Neurospora crassa OR74A: one gene and its partner. The protein of the gene in region 1 purifies or fractionates together with the protein of each later gene. This does not show direct contact. Links are inferred from orthologs where the notes say so. Each region holds a gene or a part of one and is shown on either strand. Other genes may lie near its edges.

Region 1 (4,082 bases):
TCTGGGCCCTACTAAAGCCCTTACGGGTCTGGCGTAGACGGCCCATTTCTCGCTCGCACGTGTTGACATGTTCGGCGTCATTCATCTCGATATACGCTTGAGGGCAGCAACGTTCCCGGTGATTCTGGAAGAATCCGCTATAGCCTCCGTCCAAGATGTAAACATCGGGGTACGTGAGTTTAGGATAAAATTCGGCGTTGATAGTGCGGTCTTCGGATCGTATGTGGCGGGCCATGATGGGCGCGCGATGGGCTGAATATTCGCAATGAAAAATCAAGAGCGTGCGCCCTTCCATAGGGGTCTCGAACAGATGTCTCGCCAAAAGCTCCTTGTCATTGTAATTGATGGCCCCGTCAATGTGGCCACCTTCATACTCGTACTCGAAGCGGCAGTCAATAATCATCCTGTGCGAGTACTGACTACCATACTTGCCGTCAAGCACTTCGAGCAATGTGTCTCGGCTGATGCGTGGGATAGAATCGTTCTCGCCTGAAGGGAAAAAATGTGGCAATAAAGGCTCCTGAGGTTCGTTGACATCCACGACAGACTTGAGACTAGATGGAAGAGATGTGCGCTCCTTAGGCTTGACAATGTCGCCCGGACTCTCAAACATGGACAGCGAGCGGCGGAATGTTTTCCTTTGCCGGGCAAAGGGGTTCGAAGGTGTGCGGGCATTGTTGGTGGGAGAACGTTTGCGAACGCTGTTAATGCTGCTGCCGCTGCCAAAATGAGTCTTGCAGCGCGCTGCCGCTGCATTAGAGCATGGACTACCCGGCAAGACAGGTGTCCGGCGCTCCTGCGGGGGTGATTCCTCGAAACATTCGCTCAATGACAACGACACCGAAGGGGAGATGGGTACCTTGAGGTTCCGGGCACCGAAGCGGAAGGGCGGCAGCCCCGACCCCGAACCGTTGGAGCGCCCGGGTATACTACTCGTGCTATAACCTTTGGCCCGGGCCAGAGGTGGACGAGACAAGCCAAGTCTCCTTCGCCTGGCAAAGAGAAGAGGAGATGATTAGCTTCTGCACAGACCAAAGGACGAGGGTAGAGTTCAGGAAGATTTGCTGATCAAAAGTCAAGCATGAACTTACTCGGCACCGATTCCCTTGGATTCTTGAGACAGCTGCCGCACAGCAGCAGGTGAGTCTGGTAGTGTGTCTTCATCGCCAGAATCCACTGCAGCCGGAGAAGGACTAGCGGCGAGACGTGACAGGAAAGGTGCCTTGATCGGTACCGGAGACATGTCCAACCTGTTAACTGCAGGTGACGAAGATGCAGGAGGCGGCGGCGTGGTTGCATACCCTACAGATCTGTCAGCGTCCGAGCTTTAAATAAGCTATGTAGCAGATTGCTCGCTCCATTGATTACTCACCACGACCTTCAACCGCGTTTTCAATACCTGTTGAGGTGAACAGCGCACGCCGTGGTGTCGGAGGTAACGGGCTACTGCAAAGTTCCATTTGGTCAACACTGTCGACAATGCTATCCGTTGTTCGACTTCTAAGTGAAAAGGCTAACCCTGCTTCATTGAGCTTGAAGTTTTCTGACGACCCGGCGACCAGCGAACCCTTAGGCGAAGACCTTCCTGCATGTTTGGTGTTGAACAAGTCCGCATTGGATCGCTTGAAGTTGAAGAGACCTGTTGGTGGCGCCAAGTTGCCATTGCGCGGTCCAAGCACTTCTGGCTGGCTGAAGGACGGCGGAGCAGGCCGAATCGCGGCCAGGGGCGATGAAGCCTCCATATTATCGTGACAACTCTCCAACCAGTTTCGACTTTCCTACGGATTGGCGTTCGGCATAGATCGGTGTTCCAATTGGTCTGTCGATGGGCCGGGTTCCGTCTGAATACTGAACAAAAGCCAATTCTTGGAGATACGACTGAAGCTTGCGCAGCACTCGAAAAAGGGTCGCCAATCGATGCTGTGGCTGGCTGATTCGCGTTCGTGGAATCGTCGTCACTGTCGTCGAGAGCTGCTATTGTCGGGTTCACCGTCGCGATGCTATGGACCTGGACACCGAGAGAAAGGTCCGCTCGAGTTGGCGCGCACGGAAGACCAAGGGGACTGGACTGGACTTGGGACTTGAAGATTGTCGCCGAGCAAGATGACAGAAAGACCTTAAGCTAACTAGTGGTGTAAACTGGACGCGCCGACATCGATGTCGATCAAAGCCTAGTCCATATCCGTCAGCCAACAATGCCTTCCCGAAAGTGCAGGCAGGGAACTCGGACCAGTTTTAGAAGCTCTGTGGTCGCCGGGATCAAACAATCTCCGTTTTTCCTTGTTCGAAAACTAAAAGTATGGTCGGTTCCGTCTAGTTGTTCAATGCCACGGGCGGTATGCAGCTGTGCAAACCTTTGCGCACGGCAGAACTTCTTTTGGCCGCCACCTGAGGTGTTCTTTTAGGTAGACAGTGGGTTCCGTTGTATTGTGGGTAGACGGGCAGTGATGGCCTGCGGCCTGGGGGCGGGGTGAACGAGGTTCGGCACAAGCGCTCAGCTGCACACGGACAGCCTGGTGGGTGACGGGATGGAGTCTTTTTGAGGACTGCGAATGGGCGACCGCATAGGGTGAACTGGGCTGGCTATGTTGAAAAGCTAGAATAAAGGTCGAAGAGCAGAACGTGCATTCGTTGTTGTAAGAAGGAGGAGCACGTAGGTGTTGTGTGCACGCATGTGTCACGGTCCAATGTTGAGTGAAAGCGAAGAGGGGAGCTGCTGTAAACATCCATCCAGAAGCTGGACGAGAACTCGCAAGTAAACTTGGACCTCGCTCAAGTGGTTGGTAGGAAGTTGACAAAATCGGATGTCTGCGCTGTTCAGTGAGCTAGCTGCCCCTGTTCAGTGGTCCCCGAAAATTGGAGGAGCACTCGGCGACGTTCAAGGTCCTGCCTTCAACTGGTTGGCGGAAGGGGCAACGAGGATGGAGGGTTGCAACGGCGTTGCACCTACGGAAGCCCAACAACGAGAACGACACCAGGCCGAGGCGGTACTGGAGTTGACGCTATCGTGGGTAGGCAGGAGCAATCGGCGCTATCCTCGACATGTTAGAGGAGAGTTTACAGCATCTTAGCGAAAGGTTTACAACATGTTATTACCCGGTTAGGTTGTTTGTAACCGGTGGTAACTGGACTGGGCTGTTACCCAGCAACCTAGGAAGTTCTATGTGGGTAGTACCTGGAGCGAGCGCTGCGCTCGGGCGCTTTCGGAGACCCCTGGCATGTGTCACTTTAATTCCCGTCGTACGGTCCCGTCTGCTGCACATTGCCCAGAGCGGGAGCTTTCCACTTGGCACTAGTGACTTCTGTCTTTCATCTCATCCCTCCTTCTTTGTTTTCGTCAGTATCATTATGCGGGCTTATTATTGCAGTGCATCATTTCATTCTTTCCGTTTACACGAGTTGCTTCTATTGCGCGGGATCGGGCGTCAACTCCGCGGCACATCCCCGGGCCTACCCACGCAGTAGAGAGGTACATAAGCGCTCGCTGAAGACTTGCATTCGGTGCGTCTTTGCGCCGAGGTACATGAACTCTGCCTTACCACGCAGTAGTACCAAGTATTCACTATCACCTCTCATCTTTGTCTAACCTGTAAAATGTCACAATTCCGCTGACACTTTGACCTGTCCTCATTATTTTTTCTACTTGCATGGTCCATACTTCTTGATTCACTCAGGGTCATTTACGCACACGGCAGCCCGGGAGGGATGACAGAAGTGTGACCTTTGAAAGGAATAGGCAAGGGATCGGAACTCGGAAACAATGTCAAAACTTTTGAACACCAAGAACCTGTTCATCGACTATTTGACGAAGAAGTTCTCGGTCTGCGCCTTCTCCTAGTACCCATCAATGATGCCCTGGAACAGCCTGACTGGTTCTACCATGTTGTGATGTTGGAAATCCAGTGGAAACATCGAGCTCGTTACAAGAATTTGAGCCATGGGACATGATTTCGCAGATAAACCAAAACCAAACTCTACTATTCACAGACTCGGTTCAAGTGATGGAGCCTGTGAATGGCTGTGTCGGAAAGCCATTTTGGTGGTGAACCACGGTTGCCTCCCGGCGAGACCCCATAACCGTT
Region 2 (4,118 bases), about 2.5 Mb from region 1:
CCATAAAGGAATTCACGGCAACGCGCAGCATGCGGTTTGTGGTGGCCTTGTAGTCGACTTGCAGGACCGTCTCCCCAGCATGTTCGCTGCCAGGAGACGCAACGGTCGAAAGTTCCCGCTTCACGAGGCCGGAGAGCTCCTTGTCCACCCTCAAAGCCTGCAGGGCAACAGAAGCTAACCGAGCATCAGGGAAGGGCACTCGGAGTGTTCTTGTCGGTTGCTGTGTTAGTGTCGATTATCTTGAAAGGTATGCAGAGTTTGAGTGAAGCAAGGATGTGACGATGATCTCATGAGACGAATGGTACAAGATGAAAAATTGAAAAAAAAATCAAAAAAAAAAATTTCAAAAATTGGAAAATAAACAGAGGATCAAAACATATCAGAACAAGGAATGAAGTAACAATCAAAAACAAATGACCTACAGCGAGCAGGGGAAGTTATCGTCGGTTGCCATGGTTGCGGTCTTTAATAACCCCGAAGTAAACACTTGCAAGAAATATGTTGTCGTGAACCAAAGGGTTTCAGACTGGCACTCGCCTAACGGTTGTCAGGGGAGTTTGTGTGGTAAGCGCTACCCGATGACGAATGTCAAATTCCAACCGCCGCGAGTGTGCCTGGGCTGTGATGACCGATAACAGGCCCTTGTGGGAAACTCTGTAGGAACCTCAAACTGTATCTCACACTGGCAATTCCGCAGTGATGTTACTATCGTCTACAGTTATCGCAAGGTCGTAGGCGGCAGGCTGGCTGAACAGGGAACGAGTTTCGATATTCGGTTGTTGCCGTGTGCTGGGCGCAAAGGCATCATGGCGGCTTTACAGAAAAAGGACAAGCTCCGGCAACACCTCCCTCTCTACCTCAGCTGGAAAGTGGAGCTCTGGGGGGGGATCTCCCGTCAGAGCGAAGCGATTGGATGTTACTGGTCCAGGCGCGACTGCGGATGCCAAGAGAGAAGGTTGTCAGGACAACGGCGGGTGAGATGGAGCTTTGAACGCGCTTATTGGGCGGTGAATTGTTTTGGAAGATACCAAGCCCCCCGAATTCTTCGCTGGCCCACGCTAAACCCCGGGCGCAGGCAGAGCGGTCGGGCAAGATCAGTTGCGACTTGGAGGCGGTCTCTGCATGGAAGGTGAGGTGAAGGTCTCGCTCGTTCTCCGGTTCGCCAGGGTCCCTGCCAATGACAATACACACACGACATACAACCTTGCCAGCAAAAACACCGCTCTTGGTAAGTACCGGTAAAGGCCGTACCTGCTACAAAACCTGTTCTCCGCAACCAGCTCATACCCACCGGTCTTTTCTGACCTCCTCCTCTCGCACATCATCATCGAGTTGCCCACTCCTTTGTTTCTTCAATTCTCCTGCCTCCGGTGCCTTCGTTCTTTACAAGAATTGCATTCTCGCAGCCGGTGTCCTCTCGTCCTTCTTTGGAGGCTTTGGCCCTTGTTTTTGGCCCTTTCATCCCACCCCGCACCTGCAGTGCAGTACACAGTCCCTTGCCTCGCGGTATAGCTACCTAGCCCAGCTTGGCTGCTTGGTTTTCCCTTGTTGGCACACAATCGCTCGCGCAAACGATCTGCGATCTCGACCTCACCTTCTTCCCGTCAATCAATCCGACCATAATTTTGGCCGACCTCAAGTACAGCCCTCAAACGACAAAAGATCGAATTGGACTTTAACATCCTTCGCTCCCGCCTCCCTATACGTAGCTCATTGCATTGCACAGCATCACTATTCCCGTACGTGCGCCTGCGCATTGTCGCAACGCCAATCGCTCTCTCGACATAAACAGTCGACTTTGAGCCTCCCAGGCCACGACGCCATGGCTCCTTCCTCCAGACACTCCAGCAATCTGGGGCAAATCATCGAGTACATTCCCGGTACGTGTAGATTATTTGTGCGCCGCTCCGGTCCTCTTAATTGAAGCTACAATTTTTTTTTTGTTTTGCTTCTGGCTCCGTTGTCCGAAAACTCCATGTTTATGATCCACCCGCATCCCATGTTCACCGCTCCGCAACGGAGCTGCTCGTCCCAATATGAGCACCTTTGAATATCCTCTACAATATCAGCAATTGCCTTACAGTATACTAACCTTTACAGACCGATTGTACCTTGCATCTTACTCTGAACCTCCTACCGAGCATACCTTGTTTCCCTACCCGGATCCTGAACCACGGTCCCCGCGCAAGCGCTCTCAACGAACAATCGACCAGGTCACGGAGCGTAAGAAGCCATACTACTTCACTGTCGACGATACTCTTCTATACAATGCCTTCCACCACGATTTTGGCCCGTTCCACATCGGCCACCTTTACCGCTTCGCCCTGCAGTTCCACGAAATTCTTGGGGCCAAGGAGAACAAAGACAGGCCGGTAGTGTTCTGGAGCAGGGCCGATCCACGCAGTAGGTCATCTAAGTCCGCCTCCTCGAGAACAGCAAAGATTGCTGACCAATGTTACCTTAGGTCGTGCCAATGCCTCTTGTCTACTAGCTTGCTACATGGTTTTGATCCAATCGTGGCCTCCGCATCTAGCTCTTGCGCCGGTCGCCCAGGTTGACCCCCCTCTAATGCCGTTCAGAGACGCCGGCTACAGCCAGGCCGACTACGGCATCACGGTTCAGGACGTTGTGTACGGCGTTTGGAAGGCCAAGGAGGAAGGCTGCTGCGTGTTGGAGACATTCGACCTTGACGAGTACGAAAAGTTTGAGAGAGTTGAGCACGGCGACTTCAACTGGATTACACCCAACTTCCTGGCATTTGCCTCTCCTCAGCATACCCCGGTTGCTCCCACCCCCGAGGGGACCGAGCAGTGGTCACTTCTGCCAAAGACCCTAGCCGCCGTCGACGCACATCCTACGCTGCCGCAGCCCTTCAAAAATGTTCTCAGGCATTTCTCGGAGCGAGACATCGGCCTTGTCGTCAGGCTGAACTCGCAGCTCTACAATCCCTCATACTTTGAAGCCCTAGGAATCAACCACATCGACATGATCTTTGAGGACGGAACATGTCCTACCCTTTCGACCGTACGGAAATTCATCCGCATGGCCCATGAAACCATCTCTAGGAAGAAGGGCATTGCTGTTCATTGCAAAGCTGGCCTCGGCCGAACAGGCTGCCTCATCGGTGCCTACCTGATCTACCGACATGGATTTACAGCAAACGAGGTCATTGCCTACATGCGCTTCATGCGCCCAGGCATGGTCGTAGGGCCTCAGCAGCACTGGTTACATCTGAACCAGGGCATCTTCCGGGAGTGGTGGATTGAGGAGCGGGTTGAGCGGAGGCTGCGCAAAGAAATGGCAGCCGCTGCCGCCGCCGCCGCTCAGGCTAACGGGACAGCGCATCCCAGCACCCCTGTCCGTGCCGTGTCGAAGACGAGTCTTGGTCGTAGCTCTAGCAAAAATGGCGTGTCCACACCCTCTAACAGAGGATCAGTTCGGACACCGCTAGGCGAGATCGATCGGGAGTCGGCGCGTGACAATCATATCGGCGTACAAGAGGATTACCTCCCCGCACCTACGCCAGGACAGCCAAGGAAGACGCAGCGGGGCGCAGTAGATCGCCAGAAAGGATATGGCCGGGGACCTATTCAGACCACTGTGGAGGAAGAACCCGTTCCCATGACAGAAGTGACAACCGAGGTGATCACAGTTCACAAGAGCTCAAGAGGGCCGAGTTCAGAGGAGGAATGGAATCTTCGAAGATCTCGGCGAAGACAGTCTGCTGCTCCAACTTCACCAGGACAACCCCCCGAACGGTCTGTCACCCACCAAACCGCTACCACGAAAACGACTGTTTATCAAGTCATGGATAATGATGCATCGAACGATATCGAGAACATTGGTACTGCCGCAGCACGAATCAAGGCCCATGACCACGCTCCACGCACTAGTTCCGCGTCTGGAGTTTTGACCAAGATACGAGGCAACACTAGTGCGAAACGCCATCCACCTGGGAGCGTCAGAGAAGCTGGTGTTCGAAAGACGAGTGGACGAGTTGGGAGTATAGGGAACTCGACAACCAGTCCGGCCGCTGTATCGGCAATGCGTAAAATAAGTGGGATGTGACCCTATTCTCATGAGTCAAAAGATTATACTTGACTTGATGTGTTACAAAC

What was found.
Region 2: the proteins of NCU02496 (region 1) and NCU03246 purify together in Schizosaccharomyces pombe (affinity purification with western blotting; 3 studies listed by BioGRID, with this or other methods). This does not show direct contact. The link is inferred for Neurospora crassa OR74A from reciprocal best matches to the Schizosaccharomyces pombe genes cdc25 and clp1.

The regions. Positions count from the first base shown.
Region 1 is NC_026501.1:2,517,950-2,522,031, forward strand, and holds the start of NCU02496 (M-phase inducer phosphatase 3), read right to left. Parts: upstream 2,835-4,082; 5' UTR 2,231-2,834; intron 2,172-2,230; 5' UTR 1,743-2,171; coding exon 1,519-1,742; intron 1,447-1,518; coding exon 1,373-1,446; intron 1,303-1,372; coding exon 1,092-1,302; intron 993-1,091; coding exon 1-992.
Region 2 is NC_026501.1:5,041,853-5,045,970, forward strand, and holds the start of NCU03246 (tyrosine-protein phosphatase CDC14), read left to right. Parts: upstream 1-1,276; 5' UTR 1,277-1,822; coding exon 1,823-1,880; intron 1,881-2,100; coding exon 2,101-2,403; intron 2,404-2,464; coding exon 2,465-4,068; 3' UTR 4,069-4,118. Other genes in the region: NCU03245 (hypothetical protein), read right to left, coding at 1-209, 423-454. UniProt on the Schizosaccharomyces pombe protein: Protein phosphatase which antagonizes mitotic cyclin-dependent kinase cdc2, the inactivation of which is essential for exit from mitosis. To access its substrates, is released from nucleolar sequestration during mitosis.